3 linked regions of the Callithrix jacchus genome follow. The protein of the gene in region 2 purifies or fractionates together with the protein of the main gene of each other region. This does not show direct contact. Links are inferred from orthologs where the notes say so. Each region holds a gene or a part of one and is shown on either strand. Other genes may lie near its edges.

Evidence for each region.
Region 1: the proteins of FYTTD1 (region 2) and DDX39B purify together in Homo sapiens (affinity purification with mass spectrometry; 5 studies listed by BioGRID and IntAct, with this or other methods). This does not show direct contact. The link is inferred for Callithrix jacchus from reciprocal best matches to the Homo sapiens genes FYTTD1 and DDX39B.
Region 3: the proteins of FYTTD1 (region 2) and NXF1 purify together in Homo sapiens (affinity purification with western blotting; 3 studies listed by BioGRID and IntAct, with this or other methods). This does not show direct contact. The link is inferred for Callithrix jacchus from reciprocal best matches to the Homo sapiens genes FYTTD1 and NXF1.

Annotation. Positions count from the first base shown.
Region 1 is NC_133505.1:39,026,281-39,030,683, forward strand, and holds the start of DDX39B (spliceosome RNA helicase DDX39B), read right to left. Parts: upstream 2,903-4,403; 5' UTR 2,849-2,902; exon of another isoform or gene 2,732-2,848; intron 2,661-2,731; exon of another isoform or gene 2,313-2,660; intron 2,124-2,312; exon of another isoform or gene 2,046-2,123; intron 1,454-2,045; 5' UTR 1,321-1,453; coding exon 1,110-1,320; intron 1-1,109. UniProt on the Homo sapiens protein: Involved in nuclear export of spliced and unspliced mRNA. Component of the TREX complex which is thought to couple mRNA transcription, processing and nuclear export, and specifically associates with spliced mRNA and not with unspliced pre-mRNA.
Region 2 is NC_133518.1:81,291,976-81,295,623, reverse strand, and holds part of FYTTD1 (UAP56-interacting factor), read right to left. Parts: intron 265-3,648; coding exon 133-264; intron 1-132. UniProt on the Homo sapiens protein: Required for mRNA export from the nucleus to the cytoplasm. Acts as an adapter that uses the DDX39B/UAP56-NFX1 pathway to ensure efficient mRNA export and delivering to the nuclear pore.
Region 3 is NC_133511.1:120,075,094-120,078,418, forward strand, and holds part of NXF1 (nuclear RNA export factor 1), read right to left. Parts: intron 3,252-3,325; coding exon 3,144-3,251; intron 3,031-3,143; coding exon 2,972-3,030; intron 2,865-2,971; coding exon 2,749-2,864; intron 2,631-2,748; coding exon 2,588-2,630; intron 1,694-2,587; coding exon 1,621-1,693; intron 820-1,620; coding exon 637-819; intron 1-636.

The sequences.
Region 1 (4,403 bases), on a different chromosome or scaffold from region 2:
TGATCACCTTCAATGCTCCTGACTCTTTCTTTATTTTTCTTAATCTTTAACAATTCATGACATTTGAACACCTGCCACAGGTCATTTTTCCTACTTAGACTGCCCTACTTTGGATCACATAACTGCAACCCTGAACGAAATGAAGGACTTGGTACCTGACCCAGAAGCCAGTCATCTTTAAACCAGTCACAGAGGCTTCCAGAGACCACAGGTGGCCTGGCCCAACAAAGGGGGTCTACAGGTCCAACCAGGAGCTCTCTGGAAATTTAAAATTAGAAGTGACAAAATTAAAAATAAGCAGACAAGGCCGGCCATGGTGGCTCACGCCTTAATCCCAACACTTTGGGAGCCCGAGGTGGGCTGACCATGAAGTCAAGAGATTGAGACCATCCTGGCCAACATGATGAAATCTATCTCTACTAAAATACAAAAAAAAAATCAGCCAGGCAAGGTGGTGCATGCCTATAGTCCCAGCTACTCTTGAGGCTGAGGAAGGAAAATCACTTGAACCCAGGAGATGGAGGGTGCAGTGAGCTGAGATCATGCCACTGCACTCCAGCCTGGCGAAAGAGCAAGACTCCGTCTTGGAGAAGAAAAGCCAGTCACAAGAATGAAGAGCAGACCTATAAGTTACTCTTGAATCACTGGCACTTTGTTGCTATCATAAAAGAAACAATAAACCTGTATAAGCCTCCTATATCCAAAATTGTTTTTGATACTTATCTCCTGATTTTTTTTCCCTTGCTGTCACCCAGGCTGGCGTACTGTAGTACAATAATGGTTCACTACAGCCCCAATCTTCAGGGCCCAAGCAATCCTCCCCTGGCTTGCCATACCTCTCCATGTGTACGCCACCACACCTGGCTAATTTTTGAACGTTTCATAGAGACAGGAGTCCCTAGGTTTCCCAGGCTTCTCCTGCACTCTTGAGCTCAACTGACCCTCTCCTACCTTGGCCTCCCATAGTGCTGGGATTACAGGAATGAGCGACTGCAACTGGTCCTGATCTAGCCTTAAGTATAAACCTTTACCACCTGAGCAACAATGAACACATCTTTTTATCATCCTTAAAGAGCCTAATGAGCATACATGCCCAAGAGAAAATTTACCTTCTGATGGATGCTCAAAGCCACAGTCGACAATGGCCCGGAGCAACTCTGGCTTGAGCAGGAAGTCACGAAAGCCAGAGCTGTGGATGGAGACATAGGAGCCCTTGACATCCTTCTTGGCAGGGGCCTCAGCCCCATCTCCCCCAGCTGCTGTCTCCACCTCATCATCTTCATAGTCCAAGAGCTCATTGTCTACATCGTTCTCTGCCATAACTGGGCCGGCAGGGGAAAAAGGGAAGGGGGCTCTGGATGGGTTCTTGGAAAATAGGTGAAAACAAGGGGTGAAAATTAGGGGGTTGATGAACAGCAAAGGAAAGCAAAGATACTAGTTTCTAAAAGAAGAGCTGCAGGGGGGGGGAGAAAAAAAAAGCAAGATTTAGTCATAAGCAGAGCCTTCACCTCCTCTTTTCCATCCCCAGTTCCCACTTCCCCTAAACTGGGAAACTTTTACCTGGAAAGAGAAACAGATACAAAACATACAAGCGAAAAGCAAATAAAACAGCATAGAAAAAGCAGTCCCAGGGAAAATGCTTAGGACACAGGATCCCAACAAGATTAGCAATCCGAGTAGCAGAAACCAGAAAAGTTGGAACAGGAAGACCAACTTATACATTCTTGATCTGGGCCGGGCGCAGTGGCTCACGCCTGTAATCCTAGCCCTTTGGGAGGCCGAGGTGGGTGGATCACCTGAGGTCAGGAGTTCAAGACCAGCCTGGCCATCATGGTGAAACCCCATCTTTAAAAATAAATAAATAAAAAGAAAAAAAAATAAATTCTTGATCTGAAAGTAACAAGGATGAAACAAAATAGATAATAAAGGATAAAATACTACTAATAACTTGGAGAAGTGGAAAATGGAGATGACAGAGTCCGAAAAATCCTCATAGGACCGCGCTTTCCCTATTATAATCCCAACGTGCAGATGCCTAACTCAGCAGCCATCAGTCAAGGGTGATAGATGAGGGTCATCACTGCGCAAAGCGCTCACCTTTCGAAAGGAAAACATCATATGGCCGCCGTCCACCTCCCACTTCTCAGTACCCTCCCTTCCGTTAAGATATCCTTGTGTAATTAGCATGGGGCGGGCAGTGCAAGACAAATGGCTCAGCAACAACAACAAAAAATTTCACGTCTCCACCCTACAATAAGCTAAGAGTTGACAGAGAAAGGCAATCCCCACCCAGGCTTCGACAAAATCTTTACCAAGTGGTCTCACATCACTGTTGCGCTACGAAGGTGAGACTCCTTTCTGAGAAACATACAATGACACCAATCGTAAACACTTGGAAGGCACTCCAGATTAGGTTGGGCAAGTCGAGGTGAGAAAAATCCAACCGGCTCCTCCTCCCAGCCCCATCGTGGGCCGAGAAAGGGCCCAAAAAAAGACAAGGAAGGTGAGAAGAGCCCCGCCCTCCGCAAATACCAAGACCAAGGGACGCCTAGCGCCGCCTCTCATTGATGATGAGGCCTCCAATATGAGAAGAACCCACTGGATGAAGGGAGCAAAGCGAACACAATGGCGCCGAGGACACCATCTTGGATTGGGCCCCCTCTTAGCTACCCTTCCTCCCCCCAGGAACAGTTTGCTCTCGAAAGGGATGCAGGCTACAGAAATAACGAACCAACTAGGCCCCAGCGATCAGACCAGCGCCTGTGAAGAGGGTATCAGGAACCCATGTGACGGGATGGGTACGGAGAAGCGCAGATGAAAACGGATTGTAGCGAAGGCCGAAGCTTACCTAAGCAGGGAGAGCGCGTATGGCGGCAGCAACAGCGACGAAGGAGGGAAATCTGCCTTCACTTCCGGTTGCAGCCTTCTCTCTACTGCGGCCTCCCGCCTTCTTGGCTGCAAGAGCGCAGGCGCAAAGGACCGGAAACAGGGCCTTCCGCAGTTGTATGGATCCGCGCGCTCCAGGCTTGCCTTTGGAAAATGCCTGTCTGAAATTTGTTTTAAAACCATTTCTAACTTCCCTGCTACCGCCAGTAACAAAAGTTATAAAGGAAACTAACATCTCCTCCCACTGTTATCTTTCTGATCTTTTTCTACTCTTCTCCATGCCCCTCATCTCTTCGTTTAGGTTTTTGCCACGCAGGTCTTCTCTCTAGGCACCCCTCCATGGACGCGCGAGGAACGAGAGTGGCAAGGCCTGCGAGTTCCCACGGGGTCCTTGGCCCTGTAGTGAAGGTGACCTGAGGGCGGCTGTGCACGCACTAGGAAACGGCAGGCCCTAGCTGAGGGAAGTCTAAGGGAACTGGCGTACTCGTGGGTGTTGTCCGACTCTTTCCCTGTGGTGGGGCTGGTGGGCGGCATTTTCCCAAAACGATGCTGTCCTAGGTAGCTGATCCCTAGGGCCAGTGAGTCCGGAAGGTGTTCTGAATCCGAACGGGAGACTGGGTCTGGATTCTCCCCTAAGTGTTAATAGTAGGGCCTGAGGGTTATACTACATTTCATTAATTTTGTTTTTTGGTTTGAGACGGAGTCTTGCTCTTTCGCCCAGGCTAGAGTGCAGTGGCGCGATCTCGGCTTACTGCAAACTCCGCCTGCCGGGTTTGAGCGATTCTCCTGCCTCAGCCTCCCGAGTAGCTGGAATTACAGGCGCCTCCACACCCAGCAAATGTTTGTGTTTTTAGTAGAGATGGGGTTTCACCCATGTATGACCTCAGATGTTCCACCCACCTCGGCCTCCCAAAGTGCTGGGATTACAGGCGTGAGCCACATCGCTTGGCCCATTAATTCTGTTAATTTGAGCAGAAGTTTTTGGCCCCGCCCCAACAGTCCCGTTGTTCAGCCTGGATTTTTTTCTGCTTGAAACATTTGACTTCCCCGTCTTTGACATGGGGAGCTACAAAAATAAGACATAATGTCCTGCTGTGTAACATAAATAACAAACGTTTGGCCTTCTCCCTGTTAGCACATTTAATACTAAGGAGTAAGTACCGTTATTCCCATCTCATTGACAGAGGCAAAGCAACATGTCCCAAGGAGTACGGCTGGTGAGGTTACAGCCAGGATGCAAACACCTCTAATTCTCTATTGTATTCTGCCTCCGTGCTCAAAGAATCTGGTTACTAAATACCTAGGGGTTACCTCATTAGTTCAAATCCTTGGTGAAGCAAGCTTATCTTCAGTAATAAAATGAAGTAGCTGATTCAAGAATGGTGTCATAAAAGGGCTGCTTTCCCAAGTATCATTTAATTTATTCAAAAGTATTTACCAACTGTCTACCCTGTGCCATGTGCTGTCCTAGCATCTGGGGACACAGCAGTGAATAACCCTGTTCTCACAGTGTTTAC
Region 2 (3,648 bases):
ACCTAGGCACAGAGGAAATATAAAACACCAAGAGTATTGACGCATTTCCTCCATGTGTTAAGCATATGCTAAAAACTACACTATGAACACAGAAATAACAGCTTTTCATTAAAGCTTACTTTCAAAACATACCAGAATTCTGTTGGATTCCCCATCGTACTCTCATCCTGAATTGCCGGGCACCACTTTGCTGAAGGAGTCTTCTATTTAGTCTTGGAAAATTCTGCTTCTTTCCTTCCTTTCGATTCAATTTGATGATATCATCTATGATAGAGGAAATGCCAATTATTTTCATTTTAACTTAGTCTTTCTTTCTTTCTTTCATTTTCATTTTAACTTAGTCTCGCTTTCTTTCTTTCTTTTTTTTTTTTTAAATAAAGACTGGGTTTCACCATGTTGGTCAGGCTGGTCTTGAACTCCTGACCTCAGGTGATCTGCTCGCCTTGGCCTCCAAACTGCTTGGATTACAGGCGTGAGCCACCACGCCCGGTCTAGTCTCACTTTCTAGCTGATGGATTTTCTATGTTCCTAACTTCTTTTCTACTTTGAAAGCCATTCCACAAGAGGATAATAACAAGAATCAGTCATTTCACAATAGCCCAAAGCAGATCTACCAATTAATGAAGAGTGCTATTAGCCATAGTACTTCTTTACCTGATGAATCTAAATAAGCAAAAGCCTGTTTACAAAAATTATTCCTATTTACTTTCCAAAATCACAGAAGCCTCTATCATTTAAAGATGAACACCTTCTGGCTGGGCATGGTGGCTCTCACCTATAATCCCAGCACTTTGGGAGGCTGAGGTGGGTGGATCATTTGAAGTCAGGAGTTCGAGATCAGCCTGACCAACATGGTGAAACCCTCTCTCTACTAAAAATACAAAAAAGAAAAAAAAATTAGTCGGATATTGTGGTGCATGCCTGCAGTCCCAACTACTTGTGAGGCTGAGGCAGGAGAATTGTTTGAACTTGGGAGGTGTAAGTTACAGTAAGCCGAGATTGTACCACTACACTCCAGCCTACGCGACAGGTGAGGTGACAGAGGGAGAATTTGTCTCAAAAAAAAAAAACAAAAAAAAAGCCCATCTTCCAATATAACTATAGGTAGTCAAAAATTAAACCATTCAACTAAAAGACTAAATTTGGATATTCAGCAAAAAATCAGTTATTGAGCATATACTACATGCAATGAATGTACGTCTCGGGTTGTGCTGTAACTGAAATAAAAGTAAAATACGGTCCCTTTTCTAAATATTTTAGAAGTACTGATGGAAACAGACATGCAAATTGCAAATACAAAATTAAACAAGTGCCATAATAAAGGTATAGTACAAAACAATACTAATGGCTCACCTCCAGTAAAGTACTTCAAGGTTACCTTATTTTTCTTTTTATACTGATCTTTCTATGCTTCATTACTTCCAAACATACTTCCAAACTGCCCCAAGGTAATTCACAAACATCATACTGTTCTAATACCACATGGTATTAGAACAAGGTGAAGATCAGAAAACTAAATGTATTCCAGATTCCCATTTATATGTGGTAAAAGGAGGTTACCAAAAGCCAAAAATACTCATATAAGAAATATCCAGCTGGGCATGGGGGGCTCATGTCTGTAATCCCAGCACTTTGAGAGGTGAGATGGGAGACTGCTTCTGCCAAGAGTTCGAGACCAACCTGGCAACATAGCAAAACCTTCTCTCTACAAATAATTTTTAAAAATTAGCCAGGCATAGTGGTGCATGCCTGTGGTCCCACCTTCTCAAGAGGCTGAGGTGAGAGAATTCCTTGAGCCCAAGCACTCAAGGCTGCAGTGAGCCACAATGATGCCACTGCAGTCCAGCCTAGGCAACAGAGCAAGACTATCTCTCAAAAAAAAAAAGAAGAAAGAACTATCCAAACATTTTCTCCACAGTCATAATTCCAGTATTTGATAAGTGGATACGAAGAAATTGCATACAGTCAACAACTTAATAAAACTCTATGAAACTAATTAAACTCGAATTTTTTTTGTCAGTATAGTCTTTCCAGAAGTCAGAGAAGGAAATATAACTGTAAGATCTTTTGTAATATATTACTATTCTACCTAACCTATCTATAATCTTTAAGACTCTTAATTACACTCAAACACGTATGTACACAAAATCCTACAAATCTCCCCAAAATATTTAGCTGTCTTCATGAAATTAATGTCCAACCACAAAAGAGTTCATCAAAATTAAAGGTACTCAAAAACTTTTGTAAAAAATTAAAAGGTTTCATGAACATCAGATATAAACACGTATCTCAACAAGCATAAAGGGAATTCTCAGGAAGACACTATTTATGAGAGACCACTTTCCTTTAACAAAATGCTACTTACTCTTTATCAAAAGTTTAAAAACTTCAAGCCTTGAGAGTAAACCAAAAAAATGAATTTGGTCTGGAGATCGTTACAAAAAGAGGCAGGCCGGGCACAGTGGCTCATGCCTATAATTCCAGCACTTTGGGAGGCCAAAGTGGGCAGATCACGAGGTCAGGAGATCAAGCTCATCCTGGCCAATATGGTGAAACCCTATCTCTACTAAAATAAAATTTAAAAATTAGCCAGGTGTGGTGGTGTGCGCCTATAGTCGCAGCTACTCAGGAGGCTGAGGCAGGGGAATCACTTGAACCTGGGCGGCGGAGGATGCCATGAGCCAAGATTGTGCCACTGCACTACAGCCTGGGCAACAGAGCAAGACTCTATTTCAAAAAAAAAGAGGCACAAAGTACAATTCTAACAAAGTTAATTTTAAAATACAACTATTATAAAGTCTAAATATAACTAAAAACTAGAATTAGCAAAGCATGTTAAATATAAAATTACATTTCACATTTCAACATTTTACTATCTATATCCTCAAATAAGTCAAATAAGCTACAATGGCCAAGAGCATTCTTTCAATCTAAAAGAAGAAAATGGCTTTCTACTGCCCAATGAGTAGATACATAGGTATCTGAATTAAAAAAAAAATCCTTACAATGAGCTACTTTCAGTTTCTTCCATAGCACCAGGGGAATATACATGGCGATAGGAATAGCAGCAGTAGCATAGCAGTGGGAATAGCAGTAAGTACTACAGTACAGGCATTACCAGTGTTAGTAACAACAGTTCTGACATGTATTCATTTAATTCACAACAATCCTATGAAATAAGTATTGTCGTAACACCCATTTCCAAATTAAGAAATTGAGCCATGAGGCTATTGGTAAACTTGGTACTCTATATGAAATTTATATACACCTGGCAAAGCCATGATTTAAAGCCAAAAATATCAGAGTCTAAGATTAAACATTCACAAAGCATAATAACTGTCTAGGATGGATTATCATTTCTTTCCATTTCTGTAAAATTCTCACCAAAAGAAAGGCATTAGAGGGATTGCTGTATGTTCCTGGAGGAGAGAGATCAAGCTCCGTTTTAGCTCTCCAACAGCACTTCATTTCTACCTCAAAGAGAACTCCTCAGTTTTCTTCACTTGAACGTACTCATCATCAAACAGAATACATGCAAAAAAGCAAATGGAGCCGCGGTGGCTCCGGCCAGTTGTCCTGGCACTTGAGGAGGCGAGGCTATGAGTTCAAGGCCAACCTGAGCAACATAAGAAGCTCTCATTCATGAAC
Region 3 (3,325 bases), on a different chromosome or scaffold from region 2:
CCTGAGGTTGGGAGTTCAAGACCAGCCTGACTAACATGGTGAAACCCTGTCTTAAAAAAAATAAAATAGGCCAGGCGTGGCGGCTCACGCCTATAATCCCAGCACTTTGGGAGGCCAAGGCAGTGGATCACGAGGTCAAGAGATCGAGACCATCCTGGTCAACAAAGGGAAACACCGTCTCTACTAAAAATACAAAAATTAACAGGGCATGGTGGCGCGCACCTGTAGTCCCAGCTACTTGGGAGGCTGAGGCAGGAGAATTACTTGAACCCAGGAGGCAGAGGTTGTGGTGAGCCGAGATTGCGCCATTGCACTCCAGCCTGGGTAACAAGAGCAAAACTCCGTCTCAAAAATAAATAAAATAAAATAAAAAAGCTGGGTGTGCTGGCACATGCCTGTAGTTCCAGCTACTCTGGAGGCTAAGGTGAGAGGATAGCTTGTGCCCAAGAGTTAGAGGTTACAGTGCGTTATGATCACCACTACACTCCAGCCTGGGTGACAGAGCAAGACCTTGTCTCTAATTAAAAAAAAAACAAAAACAAAAACAACCCACCTGTCAGGAGCTCTCATTAGTCACGACTACTCCTACTTTGGTTCAGTACATCCCCACCCTACATACATATGCCCAACACTCACTTCTGGGACCACTCGAGGTTCATGCCAGACTGGGTAGAGAATGCCTGCAACATTTCCTGCTGCTCTGGAGAGAGGGTGGGCACTGGGCTGGAGGAAGGCGTGGGTGCGGGCATAGCGAAGGCTCTTTGGATCTCTTCAGAACTGGCATTCCGCACAAATAGCTCGTCGTTTACAATACACAGCCTTGAGGACAAAGAGCACTTAAAAAGCTGGACAGATATATAATGTCATCCCCCAACATCATTCCTACTCTCAGATTCCTTCAGTATTCACAAGGTTCCCCTCCCACTCTGAGCTATTGTTACCTTTAATCATTTATCTCCTCCCATGGAATCCATGTTTGGAAGGATTATCTACCAAACACACTAGAGTTCTCCCAACACATGGACAGTTCTTAGTCCTTTATTTATCTTCACAACAAATTTAGGAAGTGAATATTGTTTTTTTTTGAGATGGAGTTTCGCTCTTGTTACCCAGGCTGGAGTGCAATGGCGCGATCTCGGCTCACCGCAACCTCCGCCTCCTGGGTTCAGGCAATTCTCCTGCCTCAGCCTCCTGAGTAGCTGGGATTACAGGCACGTGCCACCATGCCCAGCTAATTTTTTGTATCTTTAGTAGAGATGGGGTTTCACCAGGTTGAACAGGATGGTCTCGATCTCTTGACCTCGTGATCCACCAGCCTCGGCCTCCCAAAGTGCTGGGATTATAGGCTTGAGCCACTGCGCCCGGCCCGGAAGTGAATATTGTTAATATAAACTTTCAGATGAGGCAGCAGCCTACTTGCTAGAGGTGGAGCCAGGATGAAAACCCAAACAGTACAATTCCAGAGCCGCGCTCCTACCTAGCTCTTAACTACTATGTGAGCTTTCCCCAATTTCCTGTTGCCTTTCTGAAAGCACCCCGAAGACTGACTCTACCCTCCAATTACCACACTGTTGGCCATGGATTAGGACTGGTATCCAATGTGAAAAGCAGAATATTTACCCTGAATTGGTAGCAGGAACAGCAATGAATGTCCGGGTGAAGGCTCGCAAAGAATCCCGAGACTTTCCATCCACTGCAATGAGAACAAGAGCAACGACACCTTAGGATCACTAGTGGTTTACAAACAGCTTCTTGAATCATGGTCTTATTTGATACGAAGAACACTAGCGGGCCAGACAGGGATGATTAAATGTATAAGGGAAGTAGAGGTGGGGTGAAGGGTTGGGCAGAGAGTACAATAATACTAATAACTACTAACCCACTGATAGCATCTGTGTGCCAGGCCCAAGGCCAAGCACTTTGTAAGTTATTTCATTTTACTTCTATAGCACCACTGTGAGATGGCTATTACCCATCTTACAAATAAATAACCTAAGTCTTAGAGGTAATGTTACTTGTCCACGGCCCCACACAACCAAAACCAGGATGGAAACTAAGAACTGCCTGACTCCAAAGTCTTCCTAATCCCCAGGCTTTTCCAATATCCTGTCAGGACAGGCGGAGGGGAGGCCAAGCCAAGATGGCTTGGAGGCAAAATGGGAGAAGGAGTTCAAAAAGAAAATGGGGCCGGCGTGGTGGCTCACGCCTACAATCCCAGCACTTTGGGAGGCTGAGGCGGGTGGATCACGAGGTCAAGAGATCGAGACCATCCTGGTCAATGAGGTGAAACCCCGTCTCTACTAAAAATACAAAAATTAGCTGGGTATGGTGGTGCGTGCCTGTAGTCCCAGCTACTCGGGAGGCTGAGGCAGGAGAATTGCCTGAACCCAGGAGGTGGAGGTTGCAGTGAGCCGAGATCGTGCCATTGCACTCCAGTCTGGGTAACAATAACGAAACTCCGTCTCAAAAAAAAAAAGAAAAAGAAAAAGAAATGGGAGAGAAAGTAGCTGGGAAGCTAAGAGTGCTGAGGTACATTCCAGCTGGGGGTGGGACCATGCTACAAACTCAGGACTTTAAAGATTCTTACCTTCCTTGAAGACCCCATTGACAGAAAAACACAGCAGTGTGCTCTGAAACAGAAGCAGCATCAGGTACAATGTAGACTTCTGAGCGCACCCCAACCATGCCTATTAAATGCCACCCCCATCCCAATTCTAGGCTTCTGTCAGGGCACAAGCAGGAGCTTACTGTCTGGGCGCTTATGTCTACCACGAAGGAATTGACGTCGTGCTGCGTTTTGGGCAATTCGTTGAGGAAGGCGACAACATTGAGACGCGTGTGCTTCAATAGCCGGAACCGCAAGGCTGTGGGTAGAGAAAGCTCAGTGGGGCTGCCACATACTCCTGAGTTTTATGATAGATTCCTTCCCATGCCCTTTTCCCATCCTGTTTTGTTCACATCACACACTTACTAGGGTCTTTAAGCTTCTTCACATTTCTGCTATCTTTGAAATACTCGGCCAAGTTGCTTCTGGGGGAATAAGAGGAAAGGACACGGTGTCAGAGCATTGCTGCAGCAAGTGCTGCCCTGTATCTGCTGGGAAACCCTGTGGTACCAGGCAGATTCTGGGATGTGATACTTACCGGGCAGGGTTTTGAGGAATGAAAGGAATGCTAAGGGAACAACAGGCCCCATCATGGTAGGCATCTAGGAGCCCTTGCCGGTCTCCAGAGTCATAAATAGCATAGTACCTGTGGGAAAAACAAAAAAGAAAGCATAGGCTCTGTGGTCTAGAGCCACAGCAGGACCCAGTACCTCCCAAGAG